4 linked regions of the Mus musculus genome follow. The protein of the gene in region 2 interacts with the protein of the main gene of each other region in a pairwise test. Links are inferred from orthologs where the notes say so. Each region holds a gene or a part of one and is shown on either strand. Other genes may lie near its edges.

Evidence for each region.
Region 1: the proteins of Traf3ip1 (region 2) and Golga4 interact in a two-hybrid assay, tested with the Homo sapiens proteins (2 studies listed by BioGRID and IntAct). The link is inferred for Mus musculus from reciprocal best matches to the Homo sapiens genes TRAF3IP1 and GOLGA4.
Region 3: the proteins of Traf3ip1 (region 2) and Olfm1 interact in a two-hybrid assay, tested with the Homo sapiens proteins (2 studies listed by BioGRID and IntAct). The link is inferred for Mus musculus from reciprocal best matches to the Homo sapiens genes TRAF3IP1 and OLFM1.
Region 4: the proteins of Traf3ip1 (region 2) and Cdc5l interact in a two-hybrid assay, tested with the Homo sapiens proteins (2 studies listed by BioGRID and IntAct). The link is inferred for Mus musculus from reciprocal best matches to the Homo sapiens genes TRAF3IP1 and CDC5L.

The regions. Positions count from the first base shown.
Region 1 is NC_000075.6:118,503,489-118,511,370, reverse strand, and holds the start of Golga4 (golgin subfamily A member 4), read right to left. Parts: upstream 5,054-7,882; 5' UTR 4,886-5,053; coding exon 4,814-4,885; intron 1-4,813. UniProt on the Homo sapiens protein: Involved in vesicular trafficking at the Golgi apparatus level. May play a role in delivery of transport vesicles containing GPI-linked proteins from the trans-Golgi network through its interaction with MACF1. Involved in endosome-to-Golgi trafficking.
Region 2 is NC_000067.6:91,516,757-91,524,163, reverse strand, and holds part of Traf3ip1 (TRAF3-interacting protein 1), read right to left. Parts: intron 5,871-7,407; coding exon 5,850-5,870; intron 4,587-5,849; coding exon 4,502-4,586; intron 4,109-4,501; coding exon 4,025-4,108; intron 3,281-4,024; coding exon 3,157-3,280; intron 2,978-3,156; coding exon 2,941-2,977; intron 1,334-2,940; coding exon 1,257-1,333; intron 1-1,256.
Region 3 is NC_000068.7:28,202,655-28,210,741, reverse strand, and holds the start of Olfm1 (noelin isoform a precursor), read right to left. Parts: upstream 5,054-8,087; 5' UTR 4,793-5,053; coding exon 4,643-4,792; intron 2,665-4,642; coding exon 2,515-2,664; intron 1-2,514. UniProt on the Homo sapiens protein: Contributes to the regulation of axonal growth in the embryonic and adult central nervous system by inhibiting interactions between RTN4R and LINGO1. Inhibits RTN4R-mediated axon growth cone collapse.
Region 4 is NC_000083.6:45,428,655-45,436,646, forward strand, and holds the start of Cdc5l (cell division cycle 5-like protein), read right to left. Parts: upstream 5,054-7,992; 5' UTR 4,782-5,053; coding exon 4,737-4,781; intron 1-4,736.

The sequences.
Region 1 (7,882 bases), on a different chromosome or scaffold from region 2:
GCCCTAGGAATAACATAACTCTCACAACTGTATTACCATAGATGGAAATGGGGTTCTGAAAGCATGATTCTTAGCTGAAAATGAGTTTACTCTAAACTTAAAAAAAAAAAAAATTACCCAAGTAAGTTTAACTGCTTACATAAGCCCTTCAAATCCTGGTCTACAGGAAGGAGACCGAGGCTAGCGACCTGTGCTCTCGCTATGCTCAATAAAAACAAAATCCTACTGAACACACAGCGAGAACTGCTGAACGCCACCTCTGCATCGCCCAGAGAGCGGACAAGGCCCCCAGCACCGACTGAACTCTACCCTAAGCACATGGGCATGAAGGGCAGAAAACAACCTGGACACACCTTGACAGCCTTAGAACAGAGACCTGGTTCTGACCAACAGAACCATGCCGTCGCTAGGCTAAGAAGCCCTATAGCCACGGCGACTTCTTCTCAGCATGTGAAAACAAGCAGGGACCTTCCGGGTGGTAAGCTTTGAGTGCCAGTGCCTACCCTTTGCTTTTCGTTCCCTGTCAGAGGCTCCTCCTCAGTATTTCCCCACAGGCACGCCATGCACCTTGTGAGCACCCTTCTCAGCCATGCGAGGCAAACGTAACACCCAGCGCAGCACCTGTAGGCCCTGTTAAGTGAAAACAGTGTTGACCAATACGAATGGCTTCTTGCAGTTTCTCACTCTGGGTCTTCACAATCAATCTGAAAGGTGCAAAGAGCACACAAAGTCATACCCAATTTCCTGATCCGATTAGACGCGTAGAATGTTTACACGACTGCCCAGGTTAGACACTTCAAGAACGAGGTTAGCACAGACCTCCTAACTCCCTGTCCACCTTACCACTTCACTTTAGATGACTAGCTCTCGAACTTCTCTGGACTCACAGTAAAAATAGTAATAATAATATTAATAATGTCACCATATTTCCACCCAATTCACATAGAGACACCCCTAAAACAAAAGCTTTTACCATCTTTTGTTTTAATTAGTGCAGGGTATAGAGGCCTCAAGCCCAGGTGTCCAACATCTAGCCAATCACCCGATGGCTGAGCTACACGCACAGTCTTCACAGTACGTAGATTCTGTAGCAGGAGACATAATTTCTTTTTCTTTTCTTTTTTCTATTCTTCACACACACACACACACACACACACAATGAAACATGATCATATCCGTCATCCATTTCCCCCTCCCCAGACCACCCCCCTCTAAGCTCACCAGTGCTGCCCGTCTGAGTACCGGTGTGAGGCATCCAGTAAAGTGTGAGAAGCCTACCATAAATAAGAGCTTCCACAGATGCTCCCCTCTCCGCGCCCATCCCCCCCCCCCCCCCTGCAGCTATCAACTGGCAATAGCTGCTTACTGAGGAGTGGATCCTAGAGACCCTCCTCTAATTGTCTCTGTCTTCTAACCTGTGTGACTTCCAGGTCCAACTCACAAGCCACCTGGAGTACTACTTTCACTGTGCCATGCTATCTATCTCTGTAACCTTGAAGTTCTTCTATCTGGCAACCAAGTCTCAAATCTACATACTTCAATGTATTTCATACTTTTAACTATGGTTTAAAAAAAAAACAGGAATTAAAAGTATTAATCCCAGGTTGAACAACATGATTTAAAGATAGGAAAAACACAAAATTTGAATATTCATATTAGTAGGATATGCTATTTTAAATTTACTGTACTAGAGGCCGCATTACCTGGAAGGCTCACAAACACTCCAGAATAAATTGTTAGAAAAACAGGTACAATTCTACACTTTCAAATCTCTTTAAGTATCAGTGAAGTTTAATTACTGTGAATTAGTAACTCTGAAATCAACTAATCCCAGCTTTCTAAGAGAAAAGGAAGCAACATTCACAGTATTTTTTGGTCAGCTAGTTACTACAGGAAGTCCTCTCATCTATTACAGCCTGCCACTAGGAACTGGACTGCTCTAATTATTGGAGCTGTAGACAAGTATGAGAAATATCAAAATGAGGGGTTTTCAATGTTTTCTCATGAGCAATTTATAGCAGCTATGGACTCACTAGCAGGATGCTCATGAGCCTTTTGACTAAGCTCCTGCCCCTTAAGTTCTGCCCAAGCAGATACACTTTAAGAAACAGGTGTGGCTTTGGCTTGCACCAACATACAGCACACCTGCTCAGTAACTCCTCCCCCCCACACACACACCTAGGCCAGGGACAGGCCACTGGACCTGTCCTCACTACAACACTGCTCCAATCACTGCGAATCAACTTGACATTCCAGAGTAGGAAGGGTTACCTACCATGGGCTTAGTCTTCACACAACATCTGCATTTCAATCACTAGTGGGAACTTTTCAGCATGCCCTTAATCGAGCATCTTTGTCATTTTGCAATCTACAGTGGTTGTTCCAGAAATGAACCATCGTTCTTATGGTATAAATACTTCACCTCCTAAAGATGGTCTTCTTCTATGTGAAATTCAGCCATCCAAAAATAAGGCAGCTTCCAGTTAAATACGGCATATGAGCTACATATGGCGTCCTCCACAGAGTTAGTAAGTCTCAAGCAATTTTCAGAAGACTGGAGATGAACGAGAAGCAGAAGCGGTACCAAGTTCAGCAGAGCTGAGGTACTGCAACGCCAGGACCCACACAAGGTACTGCTGCCATGGAAACAAAGCAGCGTTCATCCCAGATTCTTAGAAAGCCTCAGGTCTTAAAGCAAAAGGTATGAGCCAGCTTTAAATATAATATCTTTATTTAAAAATAAAGAGGCAAGCTCAGAAACTCACAAGCCCTGAGCTCTCCTGTCTCTCTCTACACTGCCAGTGGCAGGAACATCAGGCTTCTCTCCCGAACAATGAGGCTTCAGGCAGGGCAACAATAACAAAGTAAGATGGGGATAAGGACAAAGTACACAGATAAGGCCAAAGGCCTGAAGGATGCGCTGCGGTGTAGAGCAGAAGCTTCCCTCACTCCCTGGGGGTGAGTCTGGAGTGGGAGGGTCTATAGTGCTACAGTGGAAGATTGCTGTGCTTCACTCCTAAAAATACATTTCTTATTGCCATAAAAAGTGGGTCACAATTCATATGCTGCACTTAATTTGTCTCTTGTAGCATCTCTCAGTCTATGTAGACAATATTTGCCTGCAGCTCTGATTCTATGTAGCAGTTGCCTTTGGGTCTCATCACATTTTCATCTATAGGAGGAATAATATTTACCTCATAGGTTTATGAGGTCTAAGTAATCTATACTAACTACTAAATAAATGTGGAGCAGAGATCCAAATCAACGTTGTTTCTTTTTAGCGCTGTATAATAATCAGCCCCCTGGTAAGAATGTATCCAGCCAATTCTTTACTGGCCCCAGAGTGCTACCATTAAAACAGCGCCAGGGCTAGCAAGACAGTTCAGATGGTAAAATGCTTGCCTGAGTTTCCATCTCAGAATCCAGGTTAAAAAAGACAGCTGTGGTGGCACACTCTTGTACCCCAGTGCTCAGGAGGCAGAAAGGTGGATTCCCTCGGCCTGCTGGCCATTGAGCCCAGCCTATTTGGTGAGTTCCAGGCCAGGGGGTGTGCTGGAGAAATGGCTCAGAGGTTAAGAGCAATTGTTGCTCTTGCAGAGGACCAACCCACATAATGGTTCAACCATGCATGACAAGTTCCCTGGGATCCAACACTATCTTCTGGCCTCACACAGTGTACAGACATACAGACAGACAAGACACTCACATAAAGAAATCCAGAAATCTTTTTTAAATAGTAAAATAAAAAGAATAAAGCCCGAGGGATGAGGAATGACGACACCATGGTTGTCTTCTGGCTGCCACCTGCCCACGCGCGCACACAAGAAAAAAGAAATCGTGTAACTAAATGTTTTTGCATCCTAAATCTTCTCAGACTATGTTTCTAGAAACAGAATGCTGGGTCGTTATATTTAAACACCCAAACTGCTTCCCACTTAGCCAAACTACGACCTTTCTTGAGCCATGGGCTTTCCAGGTTTCTAACCATAAAAGAAAAGACGTTCGTGTTCAATCTACTGATATTCAGGGAGACTGGGGAGAGATTCAGCAGAAACCCTCCCCTCCCGTCCTTCACACCCTGAGTGCTGGAGAGGGGTAGTTTGTTTCTAACACGAACACGCCCCCTTTTCCCAGCCCGAAACCATACTCCCTTAAAAAGCAACGACCTTCCAGAAAAGATGCAAGAGCCCGGTTGCTGACAGGCTCGGTGCCCGTCCCGTTCAGTGTCTGCCCCTGAGCCCTGTCCGCCATCACCCAAGTTACACGAAGTGACTAACTCGTGACAGGCTTGGTCGCTGGACCGCCGCCCTCGGCTCCTGCGAGCAGCCTGGCCCGGGCAGGCTCGACTCTCTGCCTCGATCAGGGTTTGGAAGCAGGAGACTTACAGGGACCTGGTCATTCCGGGTGCGATGTCCAGGGAACCCAGAGGACATTGGTCATATATGGGGCAGAGGGCAGAGGTCACATATCACAAAGGATCTGGGTTGCCCCGCCCCCGTCACCACTCTAGAGTCAGGGTCTCTGACGGGCGAGAGAAGCTCCCCACGCAGGACCCGAACCCATCGCACCCATCTGTCAGACCGGGTCGGTCCTTAGAGGGGAAACTCCGAAGTCAAATGTCCCGACCGGTCCCGTCACCCTGCACAGGGACGGAGTTTTGGGAGAAACCAGGCCAGGGTTCCTACACCGGCTGGGTGGTCCCAAACCTTCCAGGGCTACGGTTTGGGGGGGGGGGGTGTTCCTGGGGCGGAGGTCAAAGGTCATGGGGAACTTTCGCCCGCTTCCCGGGCCTCGGCGCAGGGGGACGACGTACCTGAGCAGGGGCTAACGCCTGCTGCAGCTGCTGCTGCTCCTCGCTGATCTTCTGCTTCAGCTTCTTGAACATGGCGCGGCGAGGGGCCGGCAGCGTCTCTACCCGCGGGGCGGCCGGGCCCGGGCCTCGCCGCCTTCCTGTGGAGCTGGCGGGCACCTCGGGGCGCTCGTCGTGCGGGTGTCGGCGTCGCCGCCGCCGCGTCTCTTCTTTCTGGGTGCCCCTGGCTGGCCTCGGCCCCCCATCCAGCCCCGTCAGCGGCGGCGGCGGCGGCGACAACGGCAGCAGGTGAACGCGCCCCGGGCGCCTGCGCGGTCGACGTGGAGCTTGCCAGGGGCTTGCTACGGAGCGCCGCGGCGGACAATATGGAGGCGGTGCGGGTGAACGCGCGTGCACAGTGGCGTCTGCGCTGACTCTAGCGGGAGTCTTGGAGCTGTGCTGTCAAATAGGGAGCATCCCACCACTGAGCACCACAGTGAAGAAGGCTGGGGTGAGAGAGGATAGAGCTAGGAATGCAGAAGTGTATTCAGTGTCGTGTGGCACGATCGTTTAGAATTCTCTCGAAAGGTTTTTGGATAGTGGGTTGGATGGTATAGATGACTAGTTGGTTCGCTGGTTGGCCAGCTAGTTGGTTCGTTGGTTCATTGGTTCATTGGTTGGTTGGTTGGTTGGTTTAAAGAGAAAATCTGGGGCTGAGGGTGTAGAACGTTTGTTTACCTAGCATATGCAGGAAGGATTGGCTCTAGCCTCAGCATCGCATAAACTGGGTGTGATGGTGTATACCTGTAATCCCAGCATCCAGAGGTAGAAGCAGTAGGACGAGAAGTTCAAGGTCATTCTTGCCTATATGAATTTAAGGCCAGTCTGAGCTACAGTGAGATCCTGTCTCAAACATAAATAGTCTGGCTGAATTAGGCAGACTGGCCTTGAATTTGTTAACTAAAGTGATTTTCCTGCCTCCAGAATAGCTGAGGCCTACAGGTGCACAATTTTCTGCCTAGTCAGAATTATCTGCCTTTAGTGCTTAATATCTGTGGCTGCACTCCAAAGGAGCTGTCTTCCCCTACCTAGACTTTTCCATCTGCTGAGAACCCCCTACACTTGCACAACATAGAATATTTCTGAAACCTCTGCTCACAAAGACCCATATGACCTCGAAACTCTGGGTTCTGCACAAGCTACTACCTGGATGGCATCCATTCAGTTCTGATTCTTTGAACAGAACATTAAGAACTGGTGCATGGGGGTGTACACCTTTAATCCCAGCACCTGGGAGGCTGAGGCCAGGTGATCTCCGAGTTCCAGGCCAGATGGGCCTATGTTACATAGGGACACCCTGACTCAGAGAGAGAGAGAGAGAGACAGAGACAGAGACAGAGACAGAGACAGACAGAGACAGACAGAGACAGACAGAGACAGACAGAGACAGAGAGAGAGACAGAGAGACAGAGAAAACCAGATCCACAGGTTTAGGCCTCAGTCCCACAAGACTTCCAATGCCAGTCACATGCCAGAGGAGGAGATTCGTAGTCAAAAACCTAAGTGAAGGAGTCCTGTCTCTGGGCATATATACTACCTTGTCTTAGTTTGCCTGCAAGAATTCAAGTCAGAAAGCTGGAGACAAGAACTGAAGCAGAGCCAAAGGGGGAGTGGTGCTTGCTGTCCTGTTCCCAGTGGATCGCTCAGCTTGCTTTCTTATACAACCCAACACCACCTACCTGGGGTAGAACCACCCACATTAAGCTGGACCCTCACACTATCAATCATTAAACAAGACAATGCCTCCACAGAATTGCTTACAGGAAAGGTTATGAGAGCTTACATTTTAACCAGATGGCGGTGGTGGTGGTGCACAACTTTAATCCCAACACTAAGGAAGCAGAGGCACTTGGATTTCTTAAGTTTGAGGCCAGCCTGGTCTACAGAGTGAATTCCAGGACAGCCAAAGCTAAGACAGAGAAACCGTGTCAAACAAACAAGCAAACAAGCAAACAAAAAAACAAGAACAACAAGCAAACAGAAATACTCTAGCAAAAATAACCAATGGGGTGATTCCACATGAATAAAACTAGAGATGGGCAGTGTTTGGGTCAGAGTTCTTTCTCTAAAGGAGCAGAGCCAATGGAGTGGATATATAGACACATGGGATGTATTAGTCTGACTGACAGACCGTGGCCTGGGTAGCCCAACAAGGTCTGTCCAGATGTGAGGGCTGTCCAGATGTGAGGGCTGTCCAGATGTGGCTGATCTCCACAATTCTCCCTCACACACAGTAGCAGAGTCCACCAACAAAGAAAAGCCCAGAACTAAACAGGCTCACAGCTGAACTCTACCATACTTTTCAGAAATTGGCAATCTCGACAACCTGGAAGGAGCACAGCTCGTTAGTATTACACTAATGCCCAAACTAGATAAGAACACACACACAAAGAACACTGCATGCCAAGTTCCCTGATGAACAAAGGCACAAAATTTCTCAACACAATACAGATCAGATAAGAGCATTCGATGCTTTTGCATAGGACCTTGGTTTGGTTCCCAGCACCCAAACCACATGGTGATTCACAACCATCTGTAACTCCAGTTCTGGGGGCTCTAAGACTCTCTTTTGACCTCTGAGGACAGCAGATATACATGTGGTGCACAATCAGAAATGCAGGCGAAATACCCACACACAGGAAAACAAAAGCTCTTAAAGCTACACGCTACAAACATCTAAACTCTAAATTTATTCTAAATGGAGGAGAGCAGGAAACATGTCCTGCAGAGTTGGGAGTGCAGCATGGGGCGCTAAGAGAAAAGAAAGAAAAGGGATCCGGACAGAAAAGGAAGAAGTCAAACATTTCCTATTCACAGATGTGATCCAGTATCTCAGAGACCCTGAAGACTTCATCTGAATTCTTAGATTGAAGAAATAAATACTTACAGTCAAGCCATAGGATATAAAATGAACATCAATAATCTGTAGTTTTCAACATCCCAATGATGTGAACTTTAAGAGGAAGAAATCTGGAGAGGATTCCCTTTATAGTAACCAAGCAAAACAAAACAAACAGGCCACCTAGGAGGAGA
Region 2 (7,407 bases):
GTCCCTAAGTAATCAACTCAAAGAATATAAGAACCACAGATGAACTGAGCCAAAACCAAAAAGAAACCACCACCATCAACAACAAAACAAAAAACAAACAAACAAACAAACAAAAACAACTTGTGTCTGGGACTGAGCATCAGCAGCAAAGACCACGCTCTAGAGCGGTCCCTGAGAGTTGGGACATGGCTGGTGACACCACGCCACCTAGTGGTCAAGTAAGAATCTGTGCCGTGACACCCCCATCACCGAGAGACCACAATCCCTCTCATAGGGAACTCAGTTAAACAGAACTCGCTGCAGACTGTTTGCCTTAATTAAAACGCAACATGAGAAGGCTGTGTGTGTCATTCGGAGGTGAAGCGTTTGAAGCTACAACAGGTGGAAAGTCATCGAAGAAATAAACAAAGGAAACTAATACAATCTGAATGGGAATTACCGGGCTTTCCCTCAGTTTTGTATTGTTTATTTTGTTTTTGGTTTGTTGTTGTTGTTTATTTGCTTGTTTTTTTAAAACAAGGTCTCACTGTGTAGCCCTGGCTGTTCCAGAATTCAGTCTCTAGATCAAGATGGCCTTAAATTCACAGAGATCTTAGCTAAATTACCAGACTTTTCAGCCTTACAAGGCATAAAAGGTAACAAGTGCAATCTCACTGCAGGGGCTGCACACATCAGCAACGACAACTGACAACCAAGTGCTCAGATGTCAGATCTGACAAGGGACATTCTCATTGAAACCACCGAAGTCACCAACTCATTCACCGTGTTTCAATGTCCCATTCTCCTACTTAGTATGACTTAGCCTTTCTTTTGCGGAAGCTTCCTGTGTTTGCCTCTGACCTTCCTGGGGGCTGACGGCAGACAGGACAGTATGTGCCAGTAAGAAAGGCCCTAGGAGCAAGACACACACAGAACTCACAGTAAGATGCAGGCCTACAAATCCCCAGCTCTCAGTCCACACTGACCCAGGGCCAAGAGTCAGCTTGTCACTGTCACAGCAGCCAGGAAGAATGAGCAGGCCAGGACAGAGGGACGTTGTGCAATGAAGACACAGCAGCCTCCCAAACAGCTGCTACCCAAACACCACCTAGGGAGCCGGGGAACGGGACTCCACAGACCAGAGCTGCGAGCTCTCTGTGCCTCAGCTATGAGGGGAATGGCACTGAAGCGCGTGACCTGCATTACTGATTTTAAATCAATGAACACTGTAACATGTAAAGGACTTTTCAAACGACCATGTCAGGCCTGCTCCTTACCTTCTCACCAGGCTTGAGAGACTGCTGCAATTTCTCATAATCCTTCTTCGTCTCCAAGATCTTCTTCACGAGCCCACCTGTTAAAAATCAGTAGGTTTCAGCTATGGCTTCTTATCTGCCCCAGGAGCTGCTCATTACTCTTGGATCTCATCTCAAGATGAGATAAATGCTGAATTCTCATCCCTCCTCTTTCCATATCAAAATGCCTTCCTCGGATGCTAAGACAAACCACAGCAGCACCTTCTACTGGCAGAGGCTTGTCACAGGGTCCCAGAGGCTTGTCACAGGGTCCCAAAGGCTTGTCACAGGGTCACAGATAGGAGGTTTGGAAATAAAAAAGGAATGTGATTAACACCCCAAAATGTAACTACCCATGCAAACAGCGATTATAATGGTTTCACAGTGCTGATGCCTCTTTTAGATTGGGCAGGAATACTAAACTTCTAGAATTCTCCATGGTGTAAATTACTTATGAAAAATCATCTTCTTAAAAATACCGTTTTACAAGAATATGTACGATGCTGGGTGTGGTATTATCAACACTGTAACCGAGCTGTGAACCCTGTGAACTTCAACAATGGCCAGTGTGGCATGATGCACCCATGGGTGCTACAGTGGCACCAGTGTTATGCAGGCAGCCAGCCACTTTCTGACTGAGTTTGAGACCCATTGCACAGAAGGAAAGTTCAATATAGTCCTGTACATGTGGCCCAAAACTTATGCTTGGGGAGCTTGCCAGCCCCAGAGGAAAACTTCTTTTCTACTAAAAGGACATAGCATCAAACTACCCACTAAGTCTGTATGTCTGTATGCACAGACGATGGTTAATGTGCAAACTCACAACCAAAGTGTCAACACAAGCTCAGCCACAAGTGGGACATCTACACCGCACCCCTCATCCGCCCTCCAAGGCTTAGGAACATTACGGGAAGAGGAGTGAAGCGGTGGATAATAGGGGGATGGAGAGAAGTGTCAGAATGTCAGTCAACATTCTATCATGAGCTGCCCTCTCTTATGAGCCCTCAACCCCACCCCCACCCCCACCCCCAGTCACATTTTCACCTGCACTATCAGGGAGAGGAATATAGGGAGAAAGAACAAAGGAGAAGTCTTAGACCTCAGCACTGGGTGGGGTGGTGCAAACTTATAGTCCCAACATTCACAAGACAGAAGCAAGAAAATGATCAAAAGGAGATCTCCACAGTGAAGTCTGGGCCAGCCAGAGCCACACAATGGTACCCTGCCGCAAATAACAACAACCACAAAACAAATGTACACCTCTCAGTGCAGCTGGCTATGGACAGTTAACCTTAAAGCCACAGGAAGAATTACATGAATAAAAACCAAAACTGAGTTGGATGTGGCATATGCCTAGAATTCCATTGTTGAGGAAGCTAAGGCAGGAAAATGGAGAGTTTTGGACAGCCTGGGCTACATAACAAATTCTATTCTCATGTTCATGTGTGCATATAAGCATGTATAGACACAGTTTCTTGGAAAGACAAGATACGATGCCACTATGCTTGGAGTCCACTCTGATCTCAGGTTCTATGGCTCCCCCAGGCCCACATGGCAGCAGCAACAGTGTCCCTCCTAGGACCCTGTGGCACAGGATGGCCACTTGCATCTTCAGAGGACACAGAGAGCCCACACACACACCGACAAGAGCACGGTCCATACTCACCGTGCTTCTCCTCATCCTCCAGCTCCCCTGACGGCACCTGAGCGGAAAGGAGAGAGATCAGGGAAGCCTTGTTACTTCAAAATAAATAAATAACAAAAACACAAAGAAACCAGACAGCTCACTGAAAAATTAGAGAAACTGTGTCTACATAAGCTGAAAAGCCAAGTCCTCACTTTTGAACGTGTGCCTAAGAACAGGGCCCTCGGGGAAACTAACCATGTCAATGTCTGCGATTTCTGACAGCTGAGGGGCAGCCTCCACCACAAACTGCTCGTCATCCTCATTGTCAGAGTTCTGGGAGTCGATGATCACACTGGAGACGGTTTTACCACTTCCCGACCTAAGCAGCAAGAGTCATTACATTAGAAGTGACGACCCATCAGCCACCAGTTGTTGTCAGCCCCTTGCATCTGGAAATACCACAGTTCTCAGAAAGGAGCTGAACTGCCATTGCCCCAGACAGGTGAAGGGAACTCTCAGGGAACAGTGGGAACAGGGAGAATATCACCTCCCACACAACAGCCTCCATGTTGCCCAGAGCTCCAGGCCACCCCAGCCCTCTACCCCAGCCTTTCTAGTCCTTTGGCTCTGCCCTGTTTGCTGACGTTGACTCTAAGATAGACCAAGGGTGGCACAAGTGGGCCCTGTGGGTCACGTGACTTGGGACCGACCCCTTTCACAGGGCCACGCCTCTATCCAATACCGCTGCCGTGTTTTCAGCTCGGAGTACCTGTTGTTTAACTCTTGCACAATTACACCTTCAGCTCTCTTCCTTTTTACACTTTGACAGTCTTCTATCTAGAGGTCAGGGAAACACAGCCAGTGCTGGCCCATGCTTTCTGAGGCATCTGATACATGAACACACGTATTTCTCCCTTTTGCCAATCTGGAATGCTTGCTGCTCTGTGGTTTAAGGCAGTGATCTAATCCTCTATTTCTTCAAGGTAAGTTTTTCTTTTTCCTAGTACTGAGTACTACACCCTACCAAGTCTTTCAGCACAGGCCCAGACCTTGGCATCCCACAGTCCAGCACTGGGGAGTGTGGCTTCATTGTGACTAGAACCCCCTGGCCAGGCAGCCTCACCTGTCTACCACCAGTGTCTCTGTGCTCTCTTGTCGTTTGACCCTGGGAGGTGCTGGCCGTGCACTCCCAGGCCGAGGTATTCTTCTAAAAAAATATTGGAAGGAAAAAAAACAGACTGTGAAACACACACAAATCTCAATGTGGACAGGACAAATAGGCAGGCCAGCACTAGTGTTCACTCCCATGCCACGGTCGGCATGACACTCAGACTCTCTGCAGAGGAACACCAGCCCCATTCAATGGGCACAGCTGCCATTCATCAGAGCACCACAGGCCTTCCCATTACTAGGAACTTCTCCAAACTGTACAATGCTCCAACTCAGGTACAAGAAAACTAGACAGGTAGTTTCCGCTTGCTTTGCACAAATAATCCCTTACGCCACAGAACAAGTGTTGACTGGGCAGCGGATGCTATGGCAGGAAGCCCCACACTGTCCTAGGCATGACCACACTCCCAAACCCCAGCGGAGGACACACCTGAGGCTGGAGGGAAGCTCACTGGGAACTTCCGCATTCTCCATCACCTCCGGCTTATCTTGGCCAGCAGGTCCAGCTTCTACTTCTGAACAGGGGACAATCCAATCAGCATTCAAAAAGAACTCAATAGTAACAAAAATAAATTTACTCAAATATAAATATCAACAAATTAAATATAAACATCTGAAAAGGCATCAGTCAAATAATTGAAATGCAAATGAACTCTTTTCACCCATCACTGATGAGGTTAAAACTGACAGACGTCAGACATCTAAATGTGGACATTTGGGGACATGGGCACACTCAAGTTCTGCTAATGCACAGTGGCTGACCAATCAAGGAATAAAGGGTGATGGAGCCAAAAGAACTGAGCCTGAGGAAAAGAACATCGTGCACAGACGGACGGACAGACAGACAGTGTGGCAATCGCTCAGAAGCTCTAGCCCACTCACATGTGCACTCCTCACAGAGCACAGTGACAGATCTCAGTCACTCCCGCGGGGGCCCCAGGAGTGTGTGTGCTTCAGTTATAAAAACAAAGACCATCAAATGCCTTTCACTTTGTCACGCTGGACTCCATTTCTAAAGTATCTACAATTACACTGGGTGCTGTATTCTTTGAACAGTCAGTACATAATTTTCTTTGTATTTTAAGACAAAGTCTTACTAGGTAGCCCTGAATGGCCTGGAGCTCTCTTATGGAGGTCTCCCTGACTCTACCGCCCAAGTGCTGAGATTGGAAGTGGGCAGGATCATCCGGCTAAAACACAGTGTTTTTCATTTTAATAAAAAGGCTAAGACAGCAAGTCACAAATCAAAATTACTAAGACAATAGAATTTATTCTACTATTTAAAACAAAATAAATTTATACTTCATAAAACAGTAAAATTAGAATTTTAACATTAGAAATAAACATTATGCCGGGCGTGGTGGCGCAGGCCTTTAATCCCAGCACTCGGGAGGCAGAGGCAGGCGGATTTCTGAGTTTGAGGCCAGCCTGGTCTACAAAGTGAGTTCCAGGACAGCCAGGGCTATACAGAGAAACCCTGTCTCGAAAAACCAAAAAAAAAAAAAAAAAAAAAAAAAAAAGAAAGAAAGAAAGAAAAGAAAAGAAAGAAAAGAAACAAACATTATGCACTAGAAAGAACCCTGAAATGTGACCTTTTCAAAATTCAAACACAGAAATGTGTATGGCCCACATACAAAATGGAAACTTAAAACACAGCAAAATAGATTCATCAGGTATATTTCTTTAAAGTAAAAAAACAGTTTTTAAGCACAGAACTGAGACTCCGTTTGACATGTGCGCACGCATGACAACACCCAACACATCAGAAGTGCTCTCACCTGCATCGCTGGGGGAGTCACCTAGAAAAGAAGAGGAATTATCAGGAAATTAGCCTTTATGTAAGGGAGCCACAGCACAGTGGTCGCTGAGCAATCAGGGGAAATACAGCTGCTAGGGACAGGGGTCCCCGGGCCTTTCTCTAGCATCTCGCCACCAGTCTGTTATGGCCAACCAGAACCATAAAACTGCACATTAGAGGGAGACTGTGGCCTGGCCGTGGTGGCCCACACCAGCACTCAGGAGGCAGAGACAGGCTGATCTCTTACAGCCAAGGCTACCCATAGAGGAACGTGTGTCAAAAAAATAAGACAAAACGAAAAAAAAAAGTAAAGGAATGTGAAGGACTACCTACGCCACAGAGCTAAGGAAGCGAATACTCAAGTCACAAAGCCACAAGAAGCATGCTGGGCCAGCAGGACCAGCAGGCTCAGCCCACCCACCAGAACTGACACTACGTCTCCACCAGCTTCCCACAGCATTGTCACTAGGGTCCTTTCTCCTCACATGCTACACTCTGCGCACAAACATGGCCCAATCAGTCAAAAGTGCCACAGGGTGAATTCGAGACCAAAGCTGCAGGCTGGGGATGTGGGAGTGGCACAGCCTGCCAAACATCCAGAAGTCCCTTGGGTTCCAACTGGGGCACTCCCAGACAACAAAACTGAAGGCACATAATCCTTGTGACACACTTAACATCCAGAACATGTTTACAAAAGGGCAGCATGCTGAGGGGAGGAGCACCTTGCTGGAGAGAGCAGCACACGTTCACATGTCTCCATAGGAGAGCAGCCCTGCATGTGCCACATGAGTACACAGGACATCTTCTCATGAGCACTGCAGCAGAGCTCCTAGACAGAGTAATCTGCGGGAGGCAGGAGTTCTTGAGGCCAAACAAAAGAAAAAATGAGCTAGGATCTTTTCTCTGCAGGCCCCAGGAAACCCCAATGTTTCAACACAGAGCAGGGTAATTGGTCAGGGACTAGACACTAAGTCAGTATGAAACTGCAGGGGACCAGAGACAGCAGTAGGAATCCAGAACAGTGCTCTAGGCAACGGCATGAGGGATTCCACTCAATCTAGGAAGAGGGCACAAGAGCATCCTTAGGTCCTTGCCTGCCCATAGACCTGCTGTTTCCTGCAGGCTGGGCTAGGCTCTGCTCACCTCTGCTCTGATCTTCAAGCCTTAGTGAACACAGAGCTTTTGAAATCTAACCTGATCTATGTCACCATTACCATAAACGTCACCTTTCCCAGTGCTCTGCACCAAAGCACTGAGACCTCCTGACTATGACTGCATGAAGTCTCCAAGGACCTGGCTGGGCCCTCTACTCTCCCCTGCCCACAGTTTGCTTCTCATGCTTCTACTACAACATGCCAGCCAACGCAACTCTTCCTGGCCGTGAGCTTCATTGGGGACACCTTCCTGTGAGGAAGGATGGTAGGCTCTCCTGTTTCCCAGGTCACCCTCAGTCCCCTACCCCTCTCCTCCAGCATCTCCTGTCTAATGATTTCTCTCTGTGTCTGCAGCTTCACCTCAGCTCCTGTACCACCTCCAGA
Region 3 (8,087 bases), on a different chromosome or scaffold from region 2:
CAACAACAACAACAACAACAACCTTAAAGACGTCAAACAGCTTGGATGCTTTAAGAGAAATCAAAGTCTGACCCCATATTCTGGCTGACCATCCAGCTAAGTCTCCCATAACAGAACATGGGTGACATCCATATCTTAACCCTCTGGGGACACCCACTTCCCCACACTCCTGCTTCCAGCAGTGTCTCCAGGAGTCAACTGGCACGTTCAAGGGCACAAGGTCATGGGATAGTCTTAGCCACTGTGACAGCAGGTGCCATGAAGTGGGGGAGGGGACAGACACAGCAGCCGCACACCTGCCCCCTATCTGGGAATGACTAATTGCTGATGTTTATTGCTCAAGTAAGCACCGGCCTGAGCCAGCTATGTTATTTATCTCACTTGATCTTCATAAAACCCTGGGGGGTGAGCCAGCTGAGTCCCACGTGCCAACACAGTTATGCCAACTCACAAGTTAAGAAACTTGGTCTCATCACACAGCCAGCTCAAGGTCTGGCACTACAGAGCCTCTGCCCTCGGACCCAGAACCTGTGTTCTTCAGAGGACACAGTTCCATCCTGGTGCCAGCCTCATCTCCTCCTCTGCCATCAGCCCCTGGAGGAGCTGCTCCAGCATGCCGATACGATCCTCAGGAATGACTCTGGTTGGACCAAACTGGAGACTTTAGGGCCTGGGACCTGACCTGCTGTGTAACCAAGTGGATCTAACAGGAAGTCTGGTGGTGGCAATGCACAACGGGTCCCAGGGTGCAAAGAGACCCAAGGAATCCAGAGCCTTCTCTGCTGTTGCCTGAGATGGCAGGTGCCAGGCCGGGCCCCGCCCCACAGGCAGGGAAGAGTAGAAGAAAAAGGAGGAGTGCTGACCAGGCCCAGCCTTAGCGCACGAATGGGGAGCAGGCTTGGCTCATCAATGCTGGCAGGCACAGTAAATGAAGCGCCTCTTTCCAGCCATTGCGCAGGCCCTCCCAAAATAGAGTCTGCGCGGCGTGAAATGGGGCTTTAAATTTTTAAGCAGCAAAACTGTGGCCTGCATAGGCAGAGAGAAAAGCCGTGCGGCCTCATTCTCAGGAGCCCCCAGAGCTTTCTGGAACCATTTCCCAGCTTAGCCCTTCTCCCAGGGTCCCTTGGCTTGGGCCTCAGTACCTCCAGCCCCGCCCCTTTGCTACAGTTCTGAATAATTAAAGGCTCAATTAGGCTCCTGTCTAGTTTGGTGTAAATAAATGTCCGCAGGATCTGTTAAATATATTTTACTTGAACTCTTTTCAAGCTATTTACTCTGGTGGCTAAAGGTGGCAAAACAGGCCAAGACACCAACACACGCTCCACCCCTTTGGGGGGGGGGCAGACTCACAGGTACCATGATGGAAATAAGGTCCCAGGTCGCTCCCACACAGGGACTGGCAACAACCTGAGAGTCATCTCAATGCCCAGGCGCTTCCTGCCTTAGCAGCTGAGTCTGCCCAAGGTATTGGAGCCCAGCTGTAGCCCAGCTACAGCTGGGAAGGCTGAGGCCTGGCAGGGATCAGGCTGGGCTCCAAAGCCATTCTGCCTTTGCAAAGATGATTTCTGTTCCCAGGGCTTCTCTTCAAGTTTACAGAGGATGCCTCGCCCCTGCAGATCTCACACAGGTGAGGGCTTGAAAAGTCCAAAGCCAATCAGTAGGGAAAGCCCAGCTTTCTGGGGTGTGTGTGTGTATGCGTGATACGTGATCCACTGTCTCTGAGTAGGAAGGGTTCATGCCTGGAGGCATCTTTTCTTGGGAGAGGGAGTTGGGCAGGGCGGAACAGCCCCTCATTTTCCCTTTTCCCCATGGTAGCACTCCAGGGACCTGTAATAGTGAAGTCAGCTGCAGAATCTGGGGTCCCTGGGGGCAGCCTATAGGTACTCTTGGCAAGAAACAGAATCCCAATAGGAAGATACTGGTTCAGTGATTAGAACCATCTCCCTTTCCAACCAGCTGTGTAGCCTGGGGACATCAAACTGAGGAGTGACCAGTGCCACCAGCTGTGCTCAGGTCTTGTGACAATGAAGTGAGACAAGACTCAGAATGTGTGCATAGAAACATCGCTGCCCTCTTGTTAGGAAGCAACCACTAGGAGCATCCATGCGGGCAGGGGGGACTTGGCAGGTGGGACGGAGACATCCCCACGGACAGCCTGTGTGCCATATATCAGGAACCCACCGTTTCCCTGGCAGCATTGTGGAGCCTTTGGACCAGACCCTGAGCATTGCTCAGAGGAGAGATGGCATGTGACGAAGGAGAGCCATGCTTCTGGCTTTCCCAACAAGCTCCTTCCTAGAGCCCTCAGAGCCCAGGAAGCAGGTGTACTCATCTCCCAACCAGGGCCACCCTTGTCCTCTCTCCATTCTCCTAGCCACTCGGTCATCTGCCCATTCATTCAGTCACAAATGTTTAGAGCGTGGGCCATGCCAGTGAAGGCCCAGCCAAGCCTCAGGCCGCCACACTGCACTCTGCATGTGCAAACTCACACATCAACCCCTTGCACGGACTCACCTTCTCCAGTAGCTGCCTCAGCTGTTTTGTGCGGGCATCCCGCGAACACATGGTCTGCTGGGGGGCGACCACTGTGCAGATACACCTGCCCTCACTGTCCTGGGCAGAGCTGTACACCTGCCAGCTCTCCTCGGGGTTGGTGGGCAACACCTGGAGAAGGGCAGGCAGGGAAGGGCACGAGGAGAGAAAGAGAGAATGTGAGGATGAGGGAGACCTGTACCCAGGTGCTGAGGTCTCAAAGAATTGGAGAGGAACAGTGCCTTAAAATGCATGTTCAACCCTGGGTGCTCAGAGTTTTGACCTCTAACCAAATTAATGCCGGGGGAGGTGGGAGGGGCCGCCGATGCACTAGGTTGGGTGAGGGGGCCATATAAGAAACCAGTAGCTAATGGCTTAGGGAATCAGATACCCTCTTCTTCCAGCAAGATGCTGACGAGCCTTGAGCTCCTGTTCCCTAACACTTGGAGACAAGCACAATTGTTATGAGTCCTGAGTCGGCACCTAAGAACTGAGAGCAGCAACCCTAGAGCTGTGTTGTCTCCCGAACAAAAGCAGCCTGGCTCAGATGTTGATTTCCAACTCCATGAAGCTCCCCCACGCACTAGCCATTTGGTGGATGTCAACAAATATATTGTGTAAGGGTCACCCTTAACCTCAATCCTGAGGGTTTGCCCAAAGACCACCAAGGACCCAGAACTGAGTGGCTGGATTCACCTTGCAGGCCTTCTATACCACCCATGACCCTGACCTTCAGATACACAGCAGGGGCAGAAGCCACCAAGGCTCCTGCATACACACCACCATGACCCCTGCCCTCCAGCCACTGCAGCCTACCCAGTCTCCAAGCCCTTCCCTGGCATCCTGCACTTCCCTGCTATTTTTAGATAAGGATGGGAAGAAGGCAGAGAAGCAGGTAGTGCTATACTTCATTTCATTCATCCAGCTTAGGACACAAGCATCCAAAATCCTTATCAGGGAAACTCATGGTGATATTTTTGTTTGGCTTTTTTTTTTTTTTTTTTTTTTTTGAGACAGAGTCTCATTACGCAGCTCTGAATGTCAGGGAACTCACTCTGTAGACCAGGCTGGCCTCAAACTCACAGAGACCCACCTGCCTCTGGGATTTAAGGAGTGGGACACCACTCCCAGTACCAGGGCACTAGGAAAACTCTTTTTAAAACAACAGGAGAGGCAGACCCTACAAGAGTGATAGATGGTGGTGGTGGTGGTGGTGGGTCACACCACCCAGCTCTTGGGATCAAACTGGAGGAGAATGGTCCCTCACCTGTCCTTTCCACTGAGAAGGTTATGCCAGGGTCCCTTTCCAGTGGCCCCTGACTTAAGGGTGGTCTCTGCTCAGCCTGCTCCATCTATCATGGAAGTCAGCCTTATCCAGACCCTCCACCCAACCCCCAGCCATAGCTCCCCATCCGCAGGCTGCCGATGACATGGAGATTCGATTTCCGTGTCAGAGGCCAGTAGAGAGGGGTGGGTGAAGACAGATCGGCAGCTGGGTCCCGCCCAGCTCCTCTCAACCTCCTCCAGAGTGCACGCTGAGATCTTCCAACCGAGATGAGACCGGAAGGGTCCCTTGGGATTTGGGGGGCTCAGGTGAGATCACAAGCTCTGGTCTTTTGCCTTGGGCCCCACTCTGCACTGGTCCAGTCCGTCTTTTACAAAGTAGGGCGAGCTGAGTCCTGGCTGGACCTAGCCCACAAAGGGTTTTAAGCAGCACCTCCACCCCTTACTTGCTGAGTGACCTTGGCTAAGTCCCCAAGTCCCTAGCTTCAGTTTCCTAAGCTTTGCAAAGAAAGATTTTCTAATATTAGTGAACGAGGACTCTGGACTTTGAACCCCTCCCACCATCACCAAAGCAGGTGTCCTCAAGCCCCTCCGGGGGACTGGGAGCAAAAAGCATCGCCCCGAAACGCCAGAGTGCGAGTGGCGGCCGCAGCTGAAGGCACTGCTTGGCTGCAGGGCAGAGGGTGGGCTCGTGACCCCGGCCCTTGTAACCCTCCCTCCCAGGGTGACCCCATCCTGTGCCGCACCGCCGGGCCAGCCCGGGGCTCGACCCGAGAGGAGGCAGGAGGGAGGAGGGGCCGCGAGGGCTCAAGGCGGGCGCACTTACGCCGGTGCTGCGGTCCAGCGTCCCGCCGCTGGCGGCCGAAAGCCGGGTGGTATTGAGGCCCACCAGCGAGGGCAGCGTCTGGGACATCCAGTTGGTGATCATGGCCATGGTGCTTAGCACGACCCCGATCTTCAGCAGCGGCACCGACATCGCGCCTCGAGTGGCCTCCTGCGCCCGCGCCGCGCCGGCGCCGGCTCCCGCGCCCCGGGCAGCCTCAGGCGGCGGGCACCACGGCGGGCAGGGGCGCCCGGCCGCGTCCCCGCGCCCCCTCTGCCCGCCGCCGCCCGCCGGTCTCTGCCTCCCTGTGCGCACTGGCCATCGCCGCGCCGCCCCGGCGCCGGGAGGTGACCAGGCGGCCCTGCCCGGCGCGCGCTGCCTGCCCGCGCTGCCCGCCGCTGCAGCGTCCCCGCGCGCTCCGCTCTCGAGAAGGGCCACCGGGTTCTGAGCGCGGCGCGGGCTGTGCGCGGGGGCCGCGGCCGGGGGGCGGGGACAAGGCCGGGCGGCGGCCGACGCAATCTGCCCAGGAAATGGGTGGATTTTTCCTCCGAGCTCCGGCTCCGCGACGCCCCCTGGCTGCAGGCAGCGAGGTCTGCAAACCGGTCGGCCGAAGAGTTAGGGTCACCCAGGAGGACGGATAAAACGCCGCCACAAATCGTAAAAAAAAAATATAAAACCTCAAGAATCTCGCATGGCACCCATCCACAGAACACCCCCTCGCCCAGCTCTCTCGGTCACCCTCACGGTTTTGTCTCGCCCAGGCCCGGCCTGCTTGTGGTCAAGGGTCTCCTCCCCTGCTGCTGGGCTTGCCTTCCCTGGTGGACTAAGTCCAGTCAGTTTGGGGTGTCTCCTGAGCCCCAGCAGGAAAGAGTAGCTTGGGTGGAGTCTCCAGTGTCAGCGCAGGAGTAAAGAGGTAGCTACAAAGTGAGAGACACTGCTGGGAACCTTGGACAACTACCTCAGAAGGAGGGGACAGTTGGAAGTCCTAGCGGGGGAACACCCTGGGCTTGTGGGAGCAGGTTTAAACAGAGAGGGACTGGAGGGGGGCGGTATGCCTGCTGTGCACAGTAGAGGATGAAGGAGAGAGAGTGTGCCAACCTACCGTCAGGAGCTGCTGGAAGCATAGGGCTCAGGAGGAACTAGAGGGGCCACACCCATGATTGTGGGGTATGGTACATGCACGGGGGGCGGGGAGGGGCGGGGTTAGAGTATCTGGCGTCTATGCTGTAGGCTTAGATGGACAGGGGTCCCTCGCAGGGACCCAGATCAGGGCCAGGCAAGCTTCAGCAGTATCTGTGCCAAGACTTGTAAGTCTCAGCAAAACAGAACAGCCGGCAAACACAACTTCATAGTGCTTTTGACTTTGAAGCAAGCCCTCTAAGCTGAGGAAAGCCAGTTTCTGCAGGCATTCCTCCAAGTTGTTCCAGTCCCGGGCAGGGAAAGCCAGCCTATTCGCAGCCCCCTACCCCTGCGCTCTTTCCCACCTGGTCAATTATAGACCAGGAAGAGATGTCAGAACAAAGGCAGGCCTCCTGGGGTCTGCCAAGAGGGATATGACATCTTCCGGGGGCTTGTCTCTCTGTGTTCAGTCCTCATTTGCAGAGAAAACGTCAACAGCCAAGATGACCCTGGCCCGAGTGCTGGGCGTGAGCCCTGCTGGCTCAAGAAGTCAATTGGAGTTGTTTCTCTGGTTAATGCATGGCATTCATTGGTGCCTCCAGTTTGGGTCAGATGCCAGCGAATTACAACTGTTAGGGAAGGGCGCCATCTCTCCGTGAAATCTGGTACTGCAGTCCAGTCACACCCAGTGGTCCTGCTGGATGCAGCAGCCGGAGATGCAAGGCTCTCTGCCCTACATCCTCTGCCAGGCATTTTCTGAACAGAATCAGGGCCGTGGCTGTGTCTACTCACTTGCTTCCTACTACACAAAGGTAAGGAGCGCTTAATGTTTATCAACAATTTCAAATCCAGCCCAGTACAGTCCTCAAAGTTCTCAAGGCGTCTCAGGAGTCATACCTTTTATTGAATTCCTACTTAGTGCAAGATACACAGTGCAACATGCTCTAAGCTCTGTGTCAGATGCAGCATAGAGACCATAACTGTCTTTGTTAGGCACACTCCATGGCCAAGCACCATTAAACCTTTCCTGCTCTCTAATGGGCAGAAGTCCCTCCCAGAGGTCAAGTGACCTTGGGGTCAAGGGGAGCTCTGCTATGAACTTGTATGAGACAGTGACCTAGCTAATGAGCTTTATTGAGACTCAGCTCTCTCATTTTTAAAATGGGCTTGACGATAGTAGCTTTCTCCTGTGATGTGTTAAGAGCGTAGGAATAAGACTGGCCTGCTCTGGTGACAGTCATTGTCACCTTTTCAAATGATAAATATGGGTTCAGCCAGCAACCTGTGCAAGGCAGGCTGCGGAGCTGGGCTTTGATATAAGGTGTGATGACCCTGAGCCCTCTGACACACCTCTGGAGCTGCTGTCAGTCAAATATCACAAGCAATGCAAGTATTTCCTCATAAGGAGAGAGGTGGGGATTTATAACCATATAGATATAGCCATATATCCATATAACTATAGTGGTTTCAAAGAGTTCCTGACTCTGTGTTAGGTGAGTGATTTCCACAGGATCCACAATTGCTGCCCTGAATTGGAGGAGTTTAACTTAGCTGGGCTTTTGAAAGGAAATGGAATTCAGAGTTTGAAACAGTGAAGCTTTGGTCTGGTCAAGTAGTCCCAGGAACAAGTAGGTAGCCTTTCGTACCACTGGCCAGGAACTGTCTCCCACCCTCACCTCAACAGGTCACTGTGGAATGACAAAGATTTGACCTCCAGCTCATACTTCTTCTAAGCCTATGTAGGGAGCCAGAGGTTCAAGGCTTCCCTAAGAAATGGATTAGAAGCACTCAACGTAGTTGATCAACTCACATAGAATGCCTCAGAGTGGAACTGGCTGTTGAGAACCAAGCTGACATCGAAGGGCAATCAGTAGGCCAGGTGGAAGGAAATTCTAACCCTACCCACACTGATGCTTGTCGAAACTGGTCACCTCAGAATGTGTCTAAATTGACAGAGAACTGAAGAAACACACATCTGATCATTTCCTAATGCGATTGGAACAGAGGTGTACAGTGAATACAGAATTGCCCTTTCAGCTCTAGCTCAAGTTTTTCCACCCCACCCCCACCCCCGAAGCCTGTACACCTGCAGCCACACCTGAGCCTCTAACTTGAATCCAGGTCTCTCGACTTGCACCTGCATTTGTGTCTTTCCACATGTACCTGAACCTCTCCACTTGCATCCATACCTGAGCCCCTCTCATGTAAATTGAGCCTCTTGACTTATACCTGAGTCCTCCTGCTCCACCTGCTCCTGTGTGTCTCCACCTTTATCAACACCTGAGTCTCCCTTACCTGAATTTGAACCTCTCCACCTGCATCTGAGCCT
Region 4 (7,992 bases), on a different chromosome or scaffold from region 2:
GAAGATAGAAAGATCTCCCATGCTCATGGATTAGCAGGATTAATATAGTCAAAATGGCTATCCTTCCGAAAGCAATCTACAGATTCAATGCAATCCCCATCAAAATTCCAACTCAATTCTTCACTGAGTTAGAAAGGGCAATTTGCAAATTCATCTGGAATAATAAAAAACCTAGGATAGCAAAAACTATTCTCAACAATAAAAGAACCTCTGGTGGAATCACCATCCCTGACCTCAAGGTGTACTACAGAGCAATTGTGATAAAAACTGCATGGTACTGGTACAGAGAAGAACAGGTAAATCAATGGAATAGAATTGAAGACCCAGAAATGAATCCACACACCTATGGTCACTTGATCTTTGACAAGGGAGCTAAAACCACCCACTGGAAAAAAGACAGCATTTTCAACAAATGGTGCTGGCACAACTGGCGGTTATCATATAGAAAAATGCGAATTGATCCATTCCTTTTTTTGTTTGCTTGTTTGTTTTTTGAGACAGGGTGTCTCTGTGTAGTCTTGGTTGTCCTGGAACTCACTCTGTAGACCAGGCTGGCCTCAAACTCAGAAATCTGCCTGCCTCTGCCTCCTGAGTGCTGGGATTAAAGGCATGTGCCACCACCACATCCAGATGAATTGATCCATTCTTATCTCCTTGTACAAAGCTCAAGTCTAAATGGATCAAAGAACTCCACATAAAACCAGAGACACTGAAATTTATAGAGGAGAAAGTGGGGAAAAGTCTTGAAGATATGGACACTGGGGAAAAATTCCTAAACAGAACAGCAATGGCTTGTGCTATAAGATCAAGAATTGACAAATGGGACCTCATGAAATTGCAAAACTTCTATAAGGCAAAAGACACTGTCAAACACAAAAAGGCCACCAACAGACTGGGAAAGGATTTTTACCAATCCTAAATCTGATAGGGGACTAATATCCAATATATACAAAGAGCTCAAGAAGCTGGACTCCAGAAATTCAAATAACCCCATTAAGAAATGGGGTACATAGCTAAACAAAGAATTCTCAAGTGAGGAATACCGAAGGGCTGAGAAGCACCTGAAAAAATGTTCAACATCCTTAATCATCAGGGAAATGCAAATCAAAACAACCTTGAGATTCCACCTCACACCAGTCAGAATGGCTAAGATCAAAAATTCAGGTGACAGCAGATGCTGGCGAGGATGTGGAGAAAGAGGAACACTCCTCCATTGCTGGTGGGATTGCAAGCTTGTACAACCACTCTGGAAATCAGTCTGGCGATTCCTTAGAAAATTGGACATAGTACTACCAGAAGATCCAGCAATACCTCTCCTGGGCATATGTTCCAATTGGTAAGAAGGACACATGCTCCACTATGTTCATAGCAGCCTTATTTATAATAGCCAGAAGCTAGAAAGAACCCAGATGTCCCTCAACAGAGGAATGGGTACAAAAAATGTGGTACATTTACACAATGGAGTACTCCTCAGCTATTAAAAACAATGAATTTATGAAATTCTTGGGCAAATGGATGGATCCTTAGTGAGGTAACCCACTCACAAAAGAACTCACATGATATGCACTCACTGATAAGTGGATATTAGCCCAGAAACTTAGAATACTCAAGATACAAGGTGCAAAACAGAAGAAAATCAAAAAGAACGAAGACCAAAGTGTGGATACTTCATTCCTCCTTAGAATAGGGAACAAAACACCCATGGAAGGTGTTACAGAGACAAAGTTTGGAGCTAAGACGAAAGGATGGACTATCCAGAGACTACCCAACCCAGGGATTCATCCCATAATCAGCCACCAAACCCAGACACTATTGCACATGCCAGCAAGATTTTGCTGTAAAGACCCTGATATAGCTGTGTCGGGTGAGGCTATGCCAGTGTCTGGCAAATACAGAAGTGGATGTTCACAGTCATCTATAGGATGGAACACAGGGCCCTTGCTGGTGTGTCACCCAACTTCCCTATTTTCTTCTGTATAAAAAGTTTGATGCTCGATTTGACAAATTACATTCAGATTCTACACAACGTCTCCTGTGTGCATCTGTCTGTCATTCCATACGACGCTTTGCCCACCCGAGACTGGAGACCCGTTCCACACAGACAAAGGGGCCCAGAGGGTCTGCGGCAATGGCCTAGTTGGCCATCATTGGGAAGAGAGACCCAGTTTGGTCTTGCAAACTTTATATGCCCCAGTACAGGGGAATGCCAGGGCCAAGAAATGGGAGTGGGTGGGTAGGGGAGCAGGGTGGGAGGGAGGGTATAGGGAACTTTTGGGATAGCATTTGAAATGTAAATAAAGAAAATATGTAATAAAAAAAGGATTTATTTATTTATTTATTTATTTTACGTATATGAATACACTGTAGCTGTAGATGGTTGTGAGCCATCATATGGTTGCTGGGAACTGAACTCAGGACCTCTGCTCACTCAGGCCCCTACTCGCTACTGCCCAAAGATTTATTTATTATTAAACATAAGTATACTGTAGCTGTCTTCAGACACACCAGAAGAGGACATCAGATCTCATTACAGGTGGTTTTGAGCCATCATGTGGTTGGCTGAGATATTAACTCAGGACCTTCAGAAGAACAGTCAGTGCTCTTAACTGCTGGCTCACCAGCCACAGAAAAAAAAAAAAAAAAAAAAAAAACAGAAAAAAAGGACATCTTACCTGGCCCTCAACAAACTGGAGGTGGAAAAAGTCAATGTTAAAAACACTACTTTATGACAGACAAAATTATTCACTGGCATGTACCTGCCATTCTCCTCACAAAGTTCACATACATTTATATATTTTCTCAAAACAAGAACAAAAAATTTCCTGACTATCTACCTTGAAGCAGGTCTTCTATACTTCTGGAGAGAGAATCAAAGAAGAAACTTGAGACTCTGGTTCAACACAGTTCCTCTCTGGCAGGCATCCTACTCACAACAGCCCAGGATCCACAGCTCCTCTACCTCATCAGTCAGCGCCCTGTCTACCTACTCCAATCTCTAAAAACCATTTCACCAGAGTACCCAAAGTATAGCCCAATCCCCAGACATCCTGCCACGCGAGCTCACAGACCTAAGAGTCATAGATGAATGCACTTGAGCACTTTACTTTTAGGCTTTTTCTACAATGAACTTGAATTGCCTGTCTTCTACATAAAACCCTCCACTCCATCTTCTCTCCCACTGCTAACTGGTAGCATACCCACCTAGCATACTTTAAGTCCTGGATTAGATTCCCATAAGACTTTACACATGACAGTACACACCTCTTATGCCAGAACAGGAGAGGTAGAAGCAGGAGGATCAGATGTTAAGGGTCACTCTCATCTACATAGCAAGTTCAAAGTCAATCTAAGCTACATAAGACCCTATCTCAGACAGACAGACATCGACACACAGACACACACACACACTCTGCTGGGTTTTGGCCATTATAGAGGAATCCTGATGTTACTTGATTTTGTGACTCTGCTTCTTCCTCAGAAGCCAACTCTTCTAGTTTAAATTGTCTTAGTGCATGCAAGTCCCTTTTCAGTGCCTCCATTTGTAACTTTGGTAAAGTTTTTCAAAACTTCAACGCATCTTCAACCAAATACATACAACAGGTACCTATCCTACAAGATTCATTCCCAAACATCACCAAGAAACCTGCTTCATACTAGAATGCCAAAGCCTGGTCCTACTATACTGCTGTCTGATGAAGACAACAGCAACTCATTTTTTTTACTGAAAGCCTACTAATGTACCCAGCTGCGTTCACAATGTTCCAAACTGGCAACTCGTTTCAAGAGCTTAAATACAATTATTTATTTGTCTTATAAAAATGAGTAATCTGAGGCTCTCAGAAGTAACTCAGCCGGAGCCACACAAAAGTGCTTGTGAAAACAAAGCTGTAGTAAATGAAAAATAGGTGCCACCAAACCACTAAACAACTAACTCTCAACGGGACGACCAACGAATGGGCCAGGAGGACTCTAAGAAGTGTTCTCAGCTAAGTTTGGAGCATGTTCAGAAAGATGCCAAAGCAATAAGGAGCTATCTCAAGAACGCACAAGACAGACGGAAAGGTGCTCATACATTCGGCGCACTCGATTAAATGCACGTTAACTTAATTTCTATTTTACTTCCTTCCTTCTGCTGTTCCGCTCACCGTGACATAATCTACAACATTTCTGGACGCAAACACCACCGTAGGTAAGTTTGTCCTAACTGGCTTCTATCCCGGCAAGGGTGGCGTGACTGGAAAGGTAAGAGAAAGGACCCAGGTCCTAAGATAAGCAGAGAGGTGCAGACGTAAACGGGCAGCCTGTCCGGCTGTAAAGAAGTCACGGAAAAAACAAAGTTGCAGCCACAACGGCTTCTAACAGAGCGAAGCGCTGTGCACGAGCTGAGATCGAAAGGAGCTGGAGAAACACCAGGCTCCGGGGGAGGTCCGGTCGGCGGCCACCGGGCTGCAGAAGACACCGAGGGGGCGCGTCCCTAACTGATCAAATAAGTGATCAAGGGCCTAGCAAATGCCAAGCGAGGAGCGCCGGGCGACAAGTCGCGACCTCGCCCCCGGGGTGAGCCAGGTGACCCGAGCCCGCACCCATGCACCGCGAGGGTCCCCGGGGTCCGCGCAGTCGCCGCCCCGCACCGCAGACCCCCGCGGGACAGCCACGGCTCCCGGAGCTTCCCCGCGCGTGCGCACACGCTACCAGAGCCGGCGGAGGGCTGCGGACGGCGGGAAAAGCTGCCTCACCTCCGTGTTCCTCCACACTCCCCCTTTGATCATAATCCGGGGCATCTTAGCGGCAGAGTGTCCCGGCAAGGGAGCCGAGGAGAGCTTCGAGAAAGTAGTAACGGCGCTCCGGGCACGGGACGCAAAAGGCCACTTCCTCCCAAGAGCGACCTTCTGCTTTGAAGAGCTCTGCGCAGGCGCGGCGTGGGCAGCCCCGGGAAATCTCGCGAGATCTTAGCGGCCGAAGGCAAAAGACGCGGGCGGCCAGGCTGCAACCTTAAGACTGATGGAGACTAATCAAACCGCAGGTGCCAAGGCGCCCGACGTGTCGCGCGCAGGTCCGAGACTAGGGTGAAGGAAAACAAAACTCTCGCGAGATGCCAGAGTTGGAACTTGACCGGGAACGCAGTGAAGGGATTGGTCCTGACGTCACGCGGAGGGCAGTGCCGGGGGTGGGGAATAAATGTGAGGGGTGTGGCGTTCCTCAGCACGCTTGGTCCCCAGGGAGCGCTGTTTGTTTGTTTGTTTGCTTGTTTGTTTGTCTGTTTGTTTAACGGAGCGCTGCGCTGGGCATCCCGGCGACCGACGAGGACTTCGCTGAGTCCTCGGGGAGATGCAAACGAGTCCGTTCTCTTTCTAGGAGCTCCAACTCGCAGCGCCAAGCGCCGAGGATGCCGGACGGACTCAAGATCCTAACTCTAACCTGAGGGACTGAGCGACTGCTCGCCCCAAAGTGTTCGCTCTCCTTCCTGGAAGAGCCACAAGGGGTTCGAGGCGACGCCCTAGGGACCCTTGGGAAGCGTCACGTCAGCCGCTTTCCCTCATCCCTCGCTGTTGGGTGTCTGTGGAACAAACTCGGTGAGTTGCGGGAGTCTCGCCCCTGGAATCCGGGGTCGTCCTCTGAAGAGTGGAACAAACAACTTGTTCATCAAATCAGAGGGCGGCTGCGAGTCCACAAAGTCTCGGTGAAGTGGAAATTGTCAGACTCTCTGCCATCTCCTCTCTCTTTTCCCACGCAGATTTCTCCACTATTCCAGAGCAATTAATTACTTGGTGTCACCCCAGGTCCCTAGGGAAAGATTTTATTCCGTGCATAGCGGCTCTGGTTTGTTGTCACTGTTCATGCTTCCGTTTGCCCCTTCTAGAAGACATGACGGATTTTCCGATTCGATTTTTGTTACGATTTTTTTCCTTGAAATAGGAAATTGTATCAAAATATCACTGCTTTCAGTTGAGAGGGAGGTAGTGTAGTGTTATGAAGAACACTTGGGTTTAGTGACCTACAATCTCATTTCACTCCTGTCATCTGACAGGATGACAGGTTAACAAGCCATTTTCTGCCTCTGGTACTCTTTGCAATGCTCTCTTGTAAAGATGTGTAACCATTACCTCCTGCCAACATCACTTAGTTGTATGGTTTTTATCCCACACACCCAGGTCACACACCATTTGGTTGACCAGATCAAAGCAAATCTGAACACTCCTCTCTGGGGATCTTAACGCTAGGATCCAAAAGAGGTCAGTGTTTCTGCTAGCTGATAAGCCTCTAACCTACCAATTGTGTGGCACCTAACAATTGTATTTTGAACTACATGGTCCCTGGATCTAGAACATTCCCAAGTCGTAACTACTTCCATATCCCCCTTTTGGATTTAGTCATTGAAGTTAGCTTTCCATTATTTGTAATCGAGAGGCCTAATAAATCCACAGTTGAACCAGTCCTCTTTCACATAGGCTATTCCAAAGGATCATGACAGTGACTTCTTCCACTCAACATTCTGTCATCTTTATGCTAACTTTAAAAAAGGTATCTCTTCCTTAAAACATGTTAATGTCACCTGCTAGAAAATTGTTACAAAGGATTGGTATTTTGACAACAGAACATACTTCATCAACCTATTGAGATCTATCCTTGTCTGTGGTGTGGATTCAAGTCAGATGCTCCAATATTGCCCCTTTTATTATGTGAATTAGTCCTCCAAGTGCCATGTAGGCCCCTCTCTGCACAGCAGCCCTGGCAACTGTCTTTGAACATAGGTGGTGTGTCCTTAGGATGCAGTATCTGAGATTAGCGCCCCATATCCAGAAACAAAGAGATAGGTTCCACATCTTCCTCACTCAGCCAACATACATTTTCCCAAATGTCCCTCAGAAAGTCAGTTGCATGGGAAACTCTATAAATACATGTTTCATGATTACTTCACTTCAAACAAACAAAAAAAGACCCCACATTTCCCATCCTCTACTTTACCAAAATGAAAGCCAATAAGAACTTGTAAAATGAGGAAGTCTCTTTTTCCCTGTTGTGAGTTGAAATACATCTCCAAGTGGATACATTCCCATCCTAACTCTTGGTACCTATACATGTGAACTCATTTGGAAATATTGTGGAGTCTTCACAGATGTGATTGGGTTAAGATGAGACCATACTAGTGTGAACTCTCCAGCCAGCTATCTAAGGAAAGTGGTGTGTACTTTTAATTCTGAGCCATTCACCACAGTTCCTCTTACTGCGCTGATCATGCCTGGATTCCTGTATATCTGACTGATCCGTGGCGTGGGGATCTGCTTTAAAACAAGTTAGTTATGCTCCAGAATACACATATACAAAAGGATTCATTGGAATGATTTTGGAGCTGTCATAGTTGTCACACACAGTTACACTATTCAAAATAAACACTTGAAAATGATGTTTGATAACTCCCTTCTATAGTTTTCAGGACTGTGATGACTATTCTTCGTTGTCAACTTGACTATATCTGGAATCACCTACAACCCAGAAATGGAGAAGAGCACACCTGTGAGAGATTGTCTGCTTAAAGTGGATGAATCCACTTCTAGTCCAGACCTTTGAGGTAGGAAGACACACATTTTTAATCTCAATCTCGAGGTGGGAAGACACAAGTCTTTAATCCAAATCTTAAGAGATGTCTTTTGTGAACATATGAGCCATACTTTCAGCTGGATGTCTGTATAAGGACGTAAAAGAAGGAAGCTTTTACTCTTTGTCTATCTGCTCTTGCCTTGCTAGCACATCCATTCCCTCACTGGTATTACAACCTACTTCTGGATTGCAGCATATACTGAAGACCACCTGAGACATGCAGCCTTGTGGGACTGAGCAACCACTAGATTTTTAGACTTTTTATTGTTGGATTAGCTGGACTACAGAGGAAGGAGAGAGAGATTGATTCCATAAGTTCTGTGACTCTAAAGAACCCTGACTAATACAGATTTTGGTACCAGAAGTGGTTCTAGAGAAGCAGAAGTATAAGGA